Linked DNA regions of Arabidopsis thaliana. The protein of the gene in region 1 interacts with the protein of each later gene in a pairwise test. Each region holds a gene or a part of one and is shown in the gene's direction. Other genes may lie near its edges.

Evidence for each region. The genes of interacting proteins can lie anywhere in the genome.
Region 2: the proteins of AT5G49420 (region 1) and SAC51 interact in a two-hybrid assay, tested with the Arabidopsis thaliana proteins (one large-scale study listed by BioGRID).

What each region holds. Positions count from the first base shown.
Region 1 is NC_003076.8:20,033,443-20,038,751, reverse strand, and holds AT5G49420 (MADS-box transcription factor family protein), read left to right. Parts: upstream 1-2,546; 5' UTR 2,547-2,581; coding exon 2,582-3,586; 3' UTR 3,587-3,639; intron 3,640-3,836; 3' UTR 3,837-4,080; downstream 4,081-5,309. Other genes in the region: AT5G49430 (WD40/YVTN repeat and Bromo-WDR9-I-like domain-containing protein), read left to right, coding at 1-207, 299-874, 1,082-1,140, 1,219-1,414; AT5G49410 (thiamine-phosphate synthase), read right to left, coding at 5,001-5,225.
Region 2 is NC_003076.8:25,729,451-25,736,086, reverse strand, and holds SAC51 (transcription factor SAC51), read left to right. Parts: upstream 1-2,773; 5' UTR 2,774-2,939; intron 2,940-3,263; 5' UTR 3,264-3,759; intron 3,760-3,857; 5' UTR 3,858-4,021; intron 4,022-4,107; 5' UTR 4,108-4,150; coding exon 4,151-5,197; 3' UTR 5,198-5,752; downstream 5,753-6,636. Other genes in the region: FKBP12 (FK506-binding protein 12), read left to right, coding at 97-184, 584-617, 799-860, 974-1,026, 1,176-1,277; Phototropic-responsive NPH3 family protein, read right to left, coding at 5,862-6,161, 6,233-6,511, 6,592-6,636.

The sequences.
Region 1 (5,309 bases):
GAATTGAGATCCGCTTCTGGAGCAACACTTCGGTTGAGATCCACAAGAAATAGAAAGTCTACTTATCCCTTTAGTGAAACTAAACCTATTGAAACAAAGAAGCCTCAGCAGTTAATAGAAAATGTATCCTGGTTGACATTATCGATACATGAAGAGGGTTCTCGTTATATTCCACAAATGGGGGATGAAGTTGCGTATTTGCGACAGGTAAGTTTTGAGGGTAATCTTATCTGTTGTTTCGTTTAGTCGACCTTTGGTATCAGTTCTCTTATCTGCGGCTGTTACTCTTATCTTTCAGGGGCATCAAGAATACTTAAACTTTAGCTCCCTGAGGGAAGTGGCTCCTTGGACATCAATAAAAGGAGGAAATATAAAGGCTGTAGAAATTTGTAAAGTGGAAAGTCTTGAATATGCAACTCTGCCTGGTTCTGGGGATAGCTGCTGCAAAATGATACTTAAGGTCATCGATCCAAACTCCGAAGTGTTCAACAAAGCTTTCAAACTTACGTTGCCTGAAGTGGTGACGTTTCCAGATTTTCTTGTGGAAAGAAGTCGGTATGAAGCAGCAATACAGAGGAACTGGACTTGCAGGGACAAGTGTAAAGTTTGGTGGAGAGACGAAGGCGAAGAAGATGGTAGTTGGTGGGAAGGACGGATTCTAGCTGTGAAACCCAAATCACCTGATTTTCCTGATAGTCCGTGGGAGAGGTACACAGTTAAGTACAAGAGTGACCCTGCCGAGACACATCTTCACAGTCCCTGGGAGCTTTTTGATGCAGATACCAAGTGGGAGCAGCCTCACATTGATGATGAGCAACGAAACCGTTTGCTCTCGGCCTTAACAAAGTTAGAGACTTCAGACAAGAGAACCCAGGTATGTGATCCTAATGAATATAATATCTCATGGTGTTAAATCTAGCCTATCCTCCCCACCAAATTCAGACTTCACCCAAAGAGCTTAGGCCCATGTTTACATTAGCTTAGTTGGTTTATAGATCACATTCTAAAGCTTAGTGGATTAAGACACAACATTATCCCAAGAACTAACAATATTGATATAATGTGGGCTAATTTGTTTCAGGATTCTTTTGGCCTCCGAAAACTGAACCAGACCGTGGGAAATTCCAGCTACTCCAACAGGTAAATTTCTACAACCCTGGAAGAGTCTTTGGTGGAGCCAAAGCTGACATGGTTTTGTTCTATGGATTCATTCTGCAGGTTCCCAGTTCCTTTGTCTCTTGAAGTAATCAGATCAAGGCTTGAGAACAACTATTACCGAAGTGTGGAAGCATTACGACACGACGTATCAGTTATGTTGTCCAATGCAGAGACTTTCTTTGGTCGAAATAAAAGTGTAGCAGCCAAAATCTCAAATCTCTCTAACTGGTTCGACCGGACGCTACCTTCTTCGTAGCTTATCATCGCGCCTATGTAGATAAACTGATGTTTTTTTTTCTCATGTTTCCAAATTATTTAGTTAGGTTTCCTGCAATTCTTTAAAAACTCTGGTTCTAATGGCAGAAGAGAATTTTAGGGGATTTTTTTTCCTTCAGTTAGAAAATTTTAGGTTTAGGGTTTAGTTGGAGATAATCTTTTTCTTTTTGAAATTGTATGTAAAGAGAAATTGGAGGAGAGGTCAAAAACGTTTGATGCTTTGGAATCATCTTCTGTTGACTGACCAACCCCAAATTTGAGAATCATTTCTTTTTCTGCTAATGGTACAACAACAGATGAAATTGTTGACATTACATGTGCAAATATCCAGTCTACAATAGATGATCAAGACAAAAACAGTATAATTGCAAATATTTTTGACAAAAAATTGATGAATACTAAGAAACAACGTTTTTATAGAAAGTCTGGACGATTTGGTTGCTCTAGACAGTGGTAGTAAACTGAGTGATAGATATTGCTAGGTGTTTTTGAAACACTGTCAAGGTTAAGCTCCAATGAAATCAGTCAGTGATTATATGTTGATGACCCTCTCTCAAGGTTTGTTCTATAGTCACCAATTACAATTGTTTCTTCTTGGTATTGATATTTTGAGTTTTGTGTGTTTAGGATAGCTGATAGGCTTTTTTGTTAGTTTTATTTGATGGACTATTGTTTTTCAGTAGGTCTTTAACAAAGTTTTCTTCTGCTACCAGGTCACCTTTGTCAACTCCATAGCCACATTTTAAGGAGTGAAGAACCAGAAAGAATGAACACGATAATGTGAAGAACCAGCTATATATTTGTTTGTCTCTCTCATAATAATCTGACAAAATTTTTTTTGTAGAATCTAGCAAAATAATATTTTTTGAAAAATAAAAATATCTCCAAATAAATCTGAATCATAATACAATAACTAAAAATTATCAAAATAAAAATAAATAAGACTGCACTAAAAAAGGATTCTGGTGGATAGTTGGGCTTAGCCCATACAAGATTACGGTCCATGTGGTTTAATCGGTTTAGGTGGATGATATTGATATGGGGTTTCGATATTTCCCTTATATATATGAGACTGAGAGATAGAAGAAGCCTTCACTTTTCAATTATCTTTCTCCACACTCAACAAAATTGAGAAAAATCAATCAGAATGGTGAAAAAAGGTGGCACGAAGAGGAAGATTGCGATTGAGACGATACAGAAGAGAGATTCCCTTAGGGTTACCTGCACCAAACGCCGTGAAGGTCTCTATAGCAAAGCCTCTCAGCTTTGTCTTCTCTCAGACGCACAGATCGCTATCTTAGCGACTCCTCCTTCTTCTGAATCCAACGTATCCTTCTACTCTTTCGGTCACTCCTCTGTTGATGCCGTTGTCTCTGCTTTTCTCTCCGGACAACGTCCTGTTCCGAAGGATAACAAAGAGACGAGGGAGGACGTTGGTATCTGTTTGACTCGCAATAATCTAGGGTTAGGTTTTTGGTGGAACGACGAGAGCCTTGCCAGATCGGAGAATCCTCAAGAGATTAGTGAAGCGATCGACTCTATGCGGACGCTGTTGAGGAATCTCAAGGAATTGCGTGCGGATGAAGCTTTAGCCTGTAATCAAGCTTTCGTTAATGATCGCGAGGACCTGAAGAACAACGACAAGTGCGATTTTGTTTCAGACCACGAAACTCATGATCAAACCCTAATTCTTCAGTCCGCTTCTCCAATTTGTTGCATCCCAGAAAATCTCAACGAGATTACTCAAGAGCCAAATCAAACCCTAAATATTCAGTCGAGTACTTCTGCAATTTGTTGCGTCCCTGATAATTCACCTGAAAATTTCAATGAGATCACTGAAGAACAAGATCAGATTCGCTCGATTTGTGAAACTTTTTGTGTTATGGATAACAACGCTGCTTTACCTGAAATGAACCTGGATTACGATCAAGACATTGGCTTCGACACGCCTTTTGAGAGCGCGCTAAATGATTGGTTTTCGGACAACACTACTCATCAGGAGATTAGTGCAAGTATTTTGAACGCTGTTGTTGATGATCAAGTCTCGGTGGATCTAACTCCGTTTTCTTATTTTCAGAGATGTTTGGATGGAGATAATCTACGATTCTCTGATTGTTTCAAAGACTTTGCAAACACTATTTCAGCACTTTGAAGATAATTTCTCTGCAGTTTTCAAACTAACTTCTAGTTACTTCTTTATTATATGTATGTATTGATTCTGCTAATTTTGGTTACAGATATGTTTTAGCAATGTAATGAATGAAAGGGTCTGGTTTGACCTCGATCAGTTTTCCATACATATATGTATGAGGGAAATTGATCGAAATCAAACTGGTTCTCTGCTTCATCAGTTTGGTTTAATGATAATATTTGTCTTCTGTTTCTATGTTTTGTATTTGTAGTTTCAAGTCCAAACTCATGCGATGAGAACATGACCAAGGCAACCAAACCACTTGAACCACAAAAAGACGAGAAGCAGCTTGTACCGGAGGAAGCATTAATCGTTCTGGCGGGTCCTCTAACAAGATCAAAATCTAAGAAGTTCAACCAAGCTATCAATGGACTACTCAAGGAGCTAAAGAAGAATCAAGAAGACGTGACTCAATCCTCCTTCATAGTGATCACGGCTCAAGAGGCTCGGTAAAGGGTTAAGTGTTGCTTATGCATTCTTTTTCCCTTATCAAGTTTTGTCCCAATGGGTTTTCTTGACAAGGTTTTTAATGAGGCCTAAGGAACACTTTCAAGCCTCCCTTTATCAGCTCAATTCGTGGTCCAAGGCCCACTCACAATGCCGTGGCCCATTTTCTATTTTCTCTTCAAACTTTGCATTTATTGTTTTTGTTATTTCCAAAACTCTTTGCATGAGTGTGTACTTGTGCATGCTCTTGCATGTCTTTCTTCTCTCACCTCTTCCCCTTCTTCCTCCTCTCCTATATAAACTCATTGTAGTTCTCATTTGTAATCATCAAACATTTTAATCAAAAACTTTCTCTTTCACTTGTTTGATCTGAAAAGTGTGTAGTATCTTTTCAACTTGTTTTCTTCTTAGTGTGTAATATCTAAGTTGGATCCAAGCTCGTAGTCTAAGAGTCTTTCATCACTCTTGGAAGTACAATTCGTTCCCCTTTCATTCCGCTGCATCCACTCGATCTCGTCGCCATCCCCATTCATCGTCTTTCCACCGCTTTGATTAAGATCAATCCATTATTCACTATCAACTACATCATTTCCAATTCAAAACCAACAAAGTGAGTCCTTGGAGTATAGATCCACTTCCAGGAGTGTATCATCATGTCTTTTTAATATGACAACAGAATCAGGTGAAATTTCGATTATATACATAAAGTTAACCAACTGGTATGCAGTTGTATCATTTACACATTCTTCAACTGTAACAACATCAACTTTCATCTCATGTCTTTTCATATTCAATTGTCACGAGAATCTAGACAAGGAATCTTCAGATGCAGGCTACATATATGTGCTATTGATTTTACTAAGGTGATCATTAATAACTGTAAGAGGAAGATTCAAGAAACAAAGCCTTAAAACTTAACAGAGTCGGCTCAGGGAAGTTTAGGAGGGTGGCCAGAGGATTTTCCTGTGAGATTTTCCGGTGGTAACTTGGGGAATTTAGAAGAAGGGTTGTGTTTAGTGAACCAAGTAGTGTACAAGAATTGCTTGTGAGGACCAACATGGTTACATATCAGCTTCAGCTTCTGTCTCTCTCTCATCCACCTTAGTATTATCTTCATGTGACGCTTGCTCGTCAGCCCTCTTAATCCCACTTCCTGTTCAAAAACATTTATACCAATTATTATCAAATTGAAAACTACAGTTTTGTGCTGACTATCAATGGTGATGATACTTGCATA
Region 2 (6,636 bases), 5.7 Mb from region 1:
ATTGATAAATAACAAAATATATAGGCAAAAGCTACTCCGAGATTCGAAGCTGCAAAGAACGCGAAACAGTGAGAGAGACAGAGAGAAGATATAGAGATGGGTGTGGAGAAGCAAGTCATCAGACCCGGCAACGGTCCCAAACCCGCTCCGGGCCAAACCGTCACCGTCCATTGCACCGGATTCGGTAACTTTCCTCTGCATATTTATATCTTTGAAAATTCCATGATAGGCTAAATCGATCTATACAAATCTGCTTTGTTGAAGAGCTATTTGATGTGTTGTGGTAGTCGTACTCGCTATTTGTTTGTTTTCTATGATGTGAAATAGATTTAATTAGGGTTTATGTTCTATTCTGGGTGGTGATAGTAACACTTAGGTCATAATTAATCTGTAATTTTGCTGTTCTGCGAGATTATTTGTCTGCTCATCTGAAACTTCATACGAATAGATCTCTTGTTTAGATTTTCTATTTGTAGGTTTAATTAAAGAATCTTGTTTATCTTATAATCCAGTTTCTTGTGTGGAATTGAAATGAATTTGTTTGAGAATCTTATTTCTCTTGTGTGTGTGTTTTTTTTGGCAGGGAAAGATGGTGATCTATCCCAGAAGTTCTGGAGGTAAATAATTCTTTATTGTAAGCTTTGATTCTAGGATCAATAAAAAGATAATTACACTTACTTGTTCTTATCATCTACGCATACTCAGTTTATAAATCAATATGTTTCGTCTTAAAAGACTTATTTAATTTGGTATTTCCTTGAGCCTAACTGTGTTTTGTTCTTTGGTATATCATTATAGTACAAAGGACGAGGGACAAAAACCTTTCTCGTTCCAAATCGGTAAAGGTGCTGTGATCAAAGGTATAAACTTACTTACTCTGTTTTATGGTTAATCATATCATATCTCTGAACCTATTTGCCTCTTTTTTGGCGAGTGAACATCATATGATTCGATTGTTTAACTTTGCTTACAGGATGGGATGAAGGCGTTATCGGAATGCAAATTGGAGAGGTTGCTCGCTTGCGGGTATGTATACTCTGCTTCTCTCATCATGTTCCTCTTTGCCATCTATGCTTTTATGGCTCTCTGTTGAAGCACTTTTGTCTTTCATGATAGTTTGGGTGTTTCGTTATATGTTTAACATCTTTGGCTTGCGATCTTATCTGCTTCTGCAGTGCTCATCGGATTACGCATATGGCGCTGGTGGATTTCCGGCATGGGGGATCCAGCCAAACTCTGTTCTCGACTTTGAAATCGAAGTACTGAGCGTGCAGTAATGATCTCCCCAGCTCCTAAACTGTGGGTAGATTATTAAACAACCCTTTATGTTTATTGCTTCTGGGATCTTTATGCAACAAAACTTTGTGATGTCATTGCTCTTCTAAAACTCTTGGACAACGTTTTTATCTAAATAAAAGAAAAGACCCGTCTCGTGTTTCAGTTGGAATGTTTGTACTATATTATGATATTATTCCCGTTTTTTTATTTTGATTAAAATGGTTTTGTTTATTCAATCAAAATGCCAATAAAAAGCACAAAAGAATCAAACTAAAACTTCAATCTTAATGACATATCAGACCCAAAGCAAATGGTCTCAACCATAATGAAATTTGAATTGACCACTTCTAATTCAAAACACAGTATAAATTACTGTTCTTAATATCAAATCAAAGGAAGAAAAAAGACTAAAGTTAAAAACTTTTTCAGACAAGATACATAAGTTAACAAAAGAAAGGAAGAAAAAAGAGAGAGACGCGAGAGAAGTCGTGCGGGTAATTAAGCACTTAAAATTCCCGTGCAATTCTTTAATCATCACTTATGCTTCTTTTTTCTTTTTCTTTTCTCCATTTTCATTTTCATTCTTTTTACTTTTCTTTTTCTTTTCACCCACATTCCCCAATCACATAAGTCCTTTTATGAATAATAACTTTTAACATAAATGAAAGTCTACATAATATTTTTAAAAATAAAACAAAAGTATTGAGCTAATTTTGGCGTTGTATAAGCTAGATAGATGCTAAATTGTCAATTTAAATTAAACAATTAAAAAGAGTGGTTAGCTTTTATTCTTTTCCGTCACAATGGGTGTTTGAAACACACACAACACCGCACCTGAACAAATGTACTATTAAAATATAATTAAGGATGAAAAAAAGCTTGAGCACACTTTCACTAACTTAGCTTTCAATAAAATTAAAGAGGGATTATAACCTGAAATAGTATTTATTTAGAAAATAATTAAGGATATAATAAAGCTCGACCACACTTTCACTAACTTAGCTTTTAAAATAAATAAGAGAAAACGTATGAACTTTTACTTTAACGAATTAAGTATATATTAAAAAATTATATTGGTTAGAAAAATATTATTTAATGATAAAGTATAACCTGAAATTATGGACCGTGAGACTTTGTCATCATATATACCATAATTACGTATATACACGTTCGGCCCCCTTGTCCCATTTCTTTCAAGCAAAGCACAAATATAAACATTGCCACCGTTTTTAATTACTAGATTAATTTCCAAGTTACACATATTTTTCCTCTAAATAATTAAAAATTCAAATTGTACAACTTAAATTATGTTACCTTTTGCGTATCTTAGTTTTTTTCTTTTAAAAAAATATAGAATGAAAATTAATTTCGATATATAGAACAAACAAAAAACCGAAAAAATTGAGAATGTGAATTGGTAAAATAAAGTAATGAAAAGGGCAAAAGCGTCATAAAATCTTTTTATAAAGCCTTGTTACTCTTGTTGCCACTCACCTCTTTAGAAATATTTCGTAAAAAAAAATTCTCCGTTTAGACATTATTGTTCGTTGGTCACTTTCATCTCTCTTATCCCTTTGCTTTTCCATTGATTCAGCTCAAAAAAAAACAAAAAAGTCTCATCGTTTTCTCTGGATCTGACCGAAAGATCATTCCTTTCTAAGGTAATCAAAATCCAATTTTTCTCTCTTATAGTCTGTGTCACTGTTCTCTCTGTTTGTGTATCTGGAGACTGTGGTTAAAAACGGTTTGAGTCGTTTGTGAAATGGTAAAGTTCTGTAATTTATGTCTGAATCTAGCTTAGAACATTGTGATTTGTGTATATTCTGAGTTGTAATAGTAAAATGTAGCGTAATTTTGCTGGAATTGATGCTGTGAATACACCCACTTGCTAGACGTTTATAAATCTATGTCCTTTACTGTTTTTGATCTCTGGATTTAGCTCATTTTTGGTGCTGATGAGATTCTTCCTTCGACTTTTTGCACAGATACTAAAGTAGGTTTGAGTGATCAGAATCAATTAGAGTGTGTATAAGAGGAAGAGAAAGAGAAAACAGCATGTGTATTGCCGTATACCGTAAAGTTTTGAGCTTGAATCTGTATTGCCGTGTGATACTGTAGATTGTTTCACCTTTGAAGCAACACCTTCAAGAGTCAAATCCTTTTCTTTCTTATTCATCTTCCCTTCTTTTTCGGTATATTATAAACACTTTTGAAAATGGGATCACAACATTTCTATGTGTACCATTGTGAACAAAGAATCAGCTAGACTAAAAGCTCACTCTCCTTCCACAAACAAAACTTTCCTCCTTTTGGTTTTGGTATCTGTCTACTTTCTTCAATCAAGATTTCCTCAAAGTTATGGTGTGCCAATCACCTGGTAAGACAAGATTTCGAGGATTGAAGTACGAGACCGGAAACGCTAACGAATCAACAATTGTAGTGAGAGTTATTGAATGCTATCAACCGATGGATAATTGCCAGGTTTGTACCAGACAATAATGCTCTTGTTATCATACTTTTAGCTTATATAGTTCTAGTCTTCTAACACTGTGGTTTTGTGATTATTCTTTGTGTTTCAGGCTGAGTACTTCAGACTTCTACTCAAACCAGTCACGTAGTTGGTTGGTGACATTTCGCTGCATTTTTCAATCTGTGATTGTTTTTCGTTCGTCTTTCTTTTACTATTTTCTCGAAAAGGACACAAGAAGTATTGCATTCACTCAGTTGAGCAACTTAACAATCGGTATGCTCTTTTCCCTCTAATTACGCTTGTGATATTACTGACTTTATCTTTCTTGAGCTGATTTTTGCCTCTGTTTTGTCCTGCAGTGTTGTACTTTTTGAAGTTCCCTTGAGCTAAACTGCTAAGAGCATGCCTCTGGATAAGAGGCAACGGGATTTGCCTCTGGGCTTAAGTCCTCAAGCTTGCTTCAAGGATATAGTAGGTCGGTCTGTCCTTCCTAGAATTCCTCTCCCTGAGCTTGGGAAACTATATGCAGCTAAGCTTCAGGCTCGCTGTTTGCAGCCACCACCATTCCAGTCTTTGCTGTGCAGTCATGATAAGGAGTCTTATGGAAAAAGATTCTCACGGTCTGACATGCGGTCTTGGTGCGCTGCTGCTACTACTACTACTACTCCACTTGGAGCATTAGAGTCTTCTCAGAAAAGACTTTTGATATTCGATCAGTCAGGAGACCAGACTCGTCTATTACAATGTCCATTTCCTCTACGGTTTCCATCTCATGCGGCTGCAGAACCAGTGAAACTCTCTGAGTTACAAGGTATAGAGAAAGCTTTCAAAGAAGATGGTGAAGAGTTTCACAAGAGTGATGGAACAGAGTCAGAAATGCATGAAGACACTGAGGAGATCAATGCATTGCTATATTCAGATGATGATTATGATGATGATTGCGAGAGTGATGATGAAGTAATGAGCACTGGTCACTCTCCTTATCCAAATGAAGGAGTTTGCAACAAAAGGGAATTAGAAGAAATCGATGGTCCTTGTAAAAGGCAGAAACTACTGGATAAGGTCAACAACATCAGCGACTTATCATCACTTGTGGGCACTGAGAGCTCCACACAACTCAATGGATCTTCCTTTCTTAAGGACAAAAAGCTCCCTGAATCAAAAACCATATCGACCAAAGAGGACACTGGTTCTGGTCTGAGCAACGAGCAGTCGAAGAAAGACAAGATCCGCACAGCTCTGAAAATACTCGAGAGCGTAGTCCCTGGTGCAAAAGGAAACGAAGCGCTCTTACTTCTGGACGAAGCAATTGATTACCTAAAGTTGCTGAAACGAGACTTAATCTCCACAGAGGTTAAGAACCAAAGCTCCACCACTCACAAGTCACCAATCTTGTTGCTTAAAGAGACAACATGGGGAACAAGAAATCTGCAGACAGATAAGGCGTGAAAGATTCTGACGAGTTAAAACGTGTGAAGTGGGTTTTTGGGTACGTATCCTCTGCACCAGCTTTTTAGCTGTATATAGTGGACTACTTTTAAGTATTATATATGCTACTGCAAATTTCAAAAAGTTAAAGAAGAAAAGAGGTCACTTTCTTCTTCTCTCTGTGTGGAATGAAAAGCCAAAGTCGTCATGGTCATTGATGGACAATGATTATCTTTTTTGGCTGAGTGTGGATGGTGAAATCAAAAGGCAAATATTCAAAGTCTCATCTCAAGCTCGCGTGATCTATGAATCTCCCCTAAGGTAATAAAATATCTCTGACCCACACACACTCTTTTGTCCATATGATGACTAGATGGGTCCATGATTTTTATGAAATATTGATGTCATGTTCATGTAATTAATTTGAGTGTCTGTAATAATGCAAACTATTCCTTTGTCTTTTGCTTCAACCCACATGCTACTGGTATTGTTGTGTCTCTATTGTTGTATTGTTAAATGGTTTTGTAATAAACAAATGGCGTTTTTTGGTTTGTGATAAAAATCGAATCGTTTATGTCACTTATTCCATATTAGAAACCAATAAACATTACAAATTAGGAACAAACAAAAGCTTTTTCTTTTCAAAGAATCAAAATCAAGAAGATACAAAACCATCACTATCACTTCATGAAATTGAGTTCCTCCATCGTCTTGGTTTCCTGGGGGGTGGATGATCAACACCAGCTTGTTCTCCTCCAGAGGATATGTCATGGCTCTCCTGTCCACTCATCTTAGTCAGTTTACTTAGCTTCTTCCAACCGCTGGTCCAAGCCGAAGAAGATGGCGTGTTCTTCACTTTCCCCGTCTTCTCAAACTGTCGTTGCATCACTTCCATCTCGTTCTGAAGCTCGACGTACTTGGTCTTCACCGTCTCTAACTCGAACTTCAACGTGTTAATATCCTTCTTGGCTGCAGCCCATCCTTCCTGCATTCAAAGTAGAGGAATTAGAAAAAAGGAATTTGTGTGAATTTTGATGAGTGTTTTCTCTTACTTGCCTGAAACGATTGTGGTGTTGCTTCGATCAATGTCTTGCGATTTGGGATCATAGGCTGATACGTACCCATGGCTTCTCCTAAAGTGGTTGACTCCTTGAGTGATGTGTTGGCTAAAGCATTGCTGATCTTGACTTGCTCCGAGAAGAGAACTTGAACCACCACTCTCAATGGCAACCTCTCGTTCTGAGCCGCGTGCATACATGCGTCCATTGATAGTTTTTGACAATCCATCACTCGGCATAGCCGTTTCCTCTCATGCTCCGATAATGTCGGATGCGCCTATCACAACAAAATTAAGCCAAAAAAATGTTGAAAACTATTCTACGAATTTACCAAAAAGACCTTCAATATATATATACCTTGAGATATGAATCAATGGCTCTGTATAGTCCATCGTCACAAGT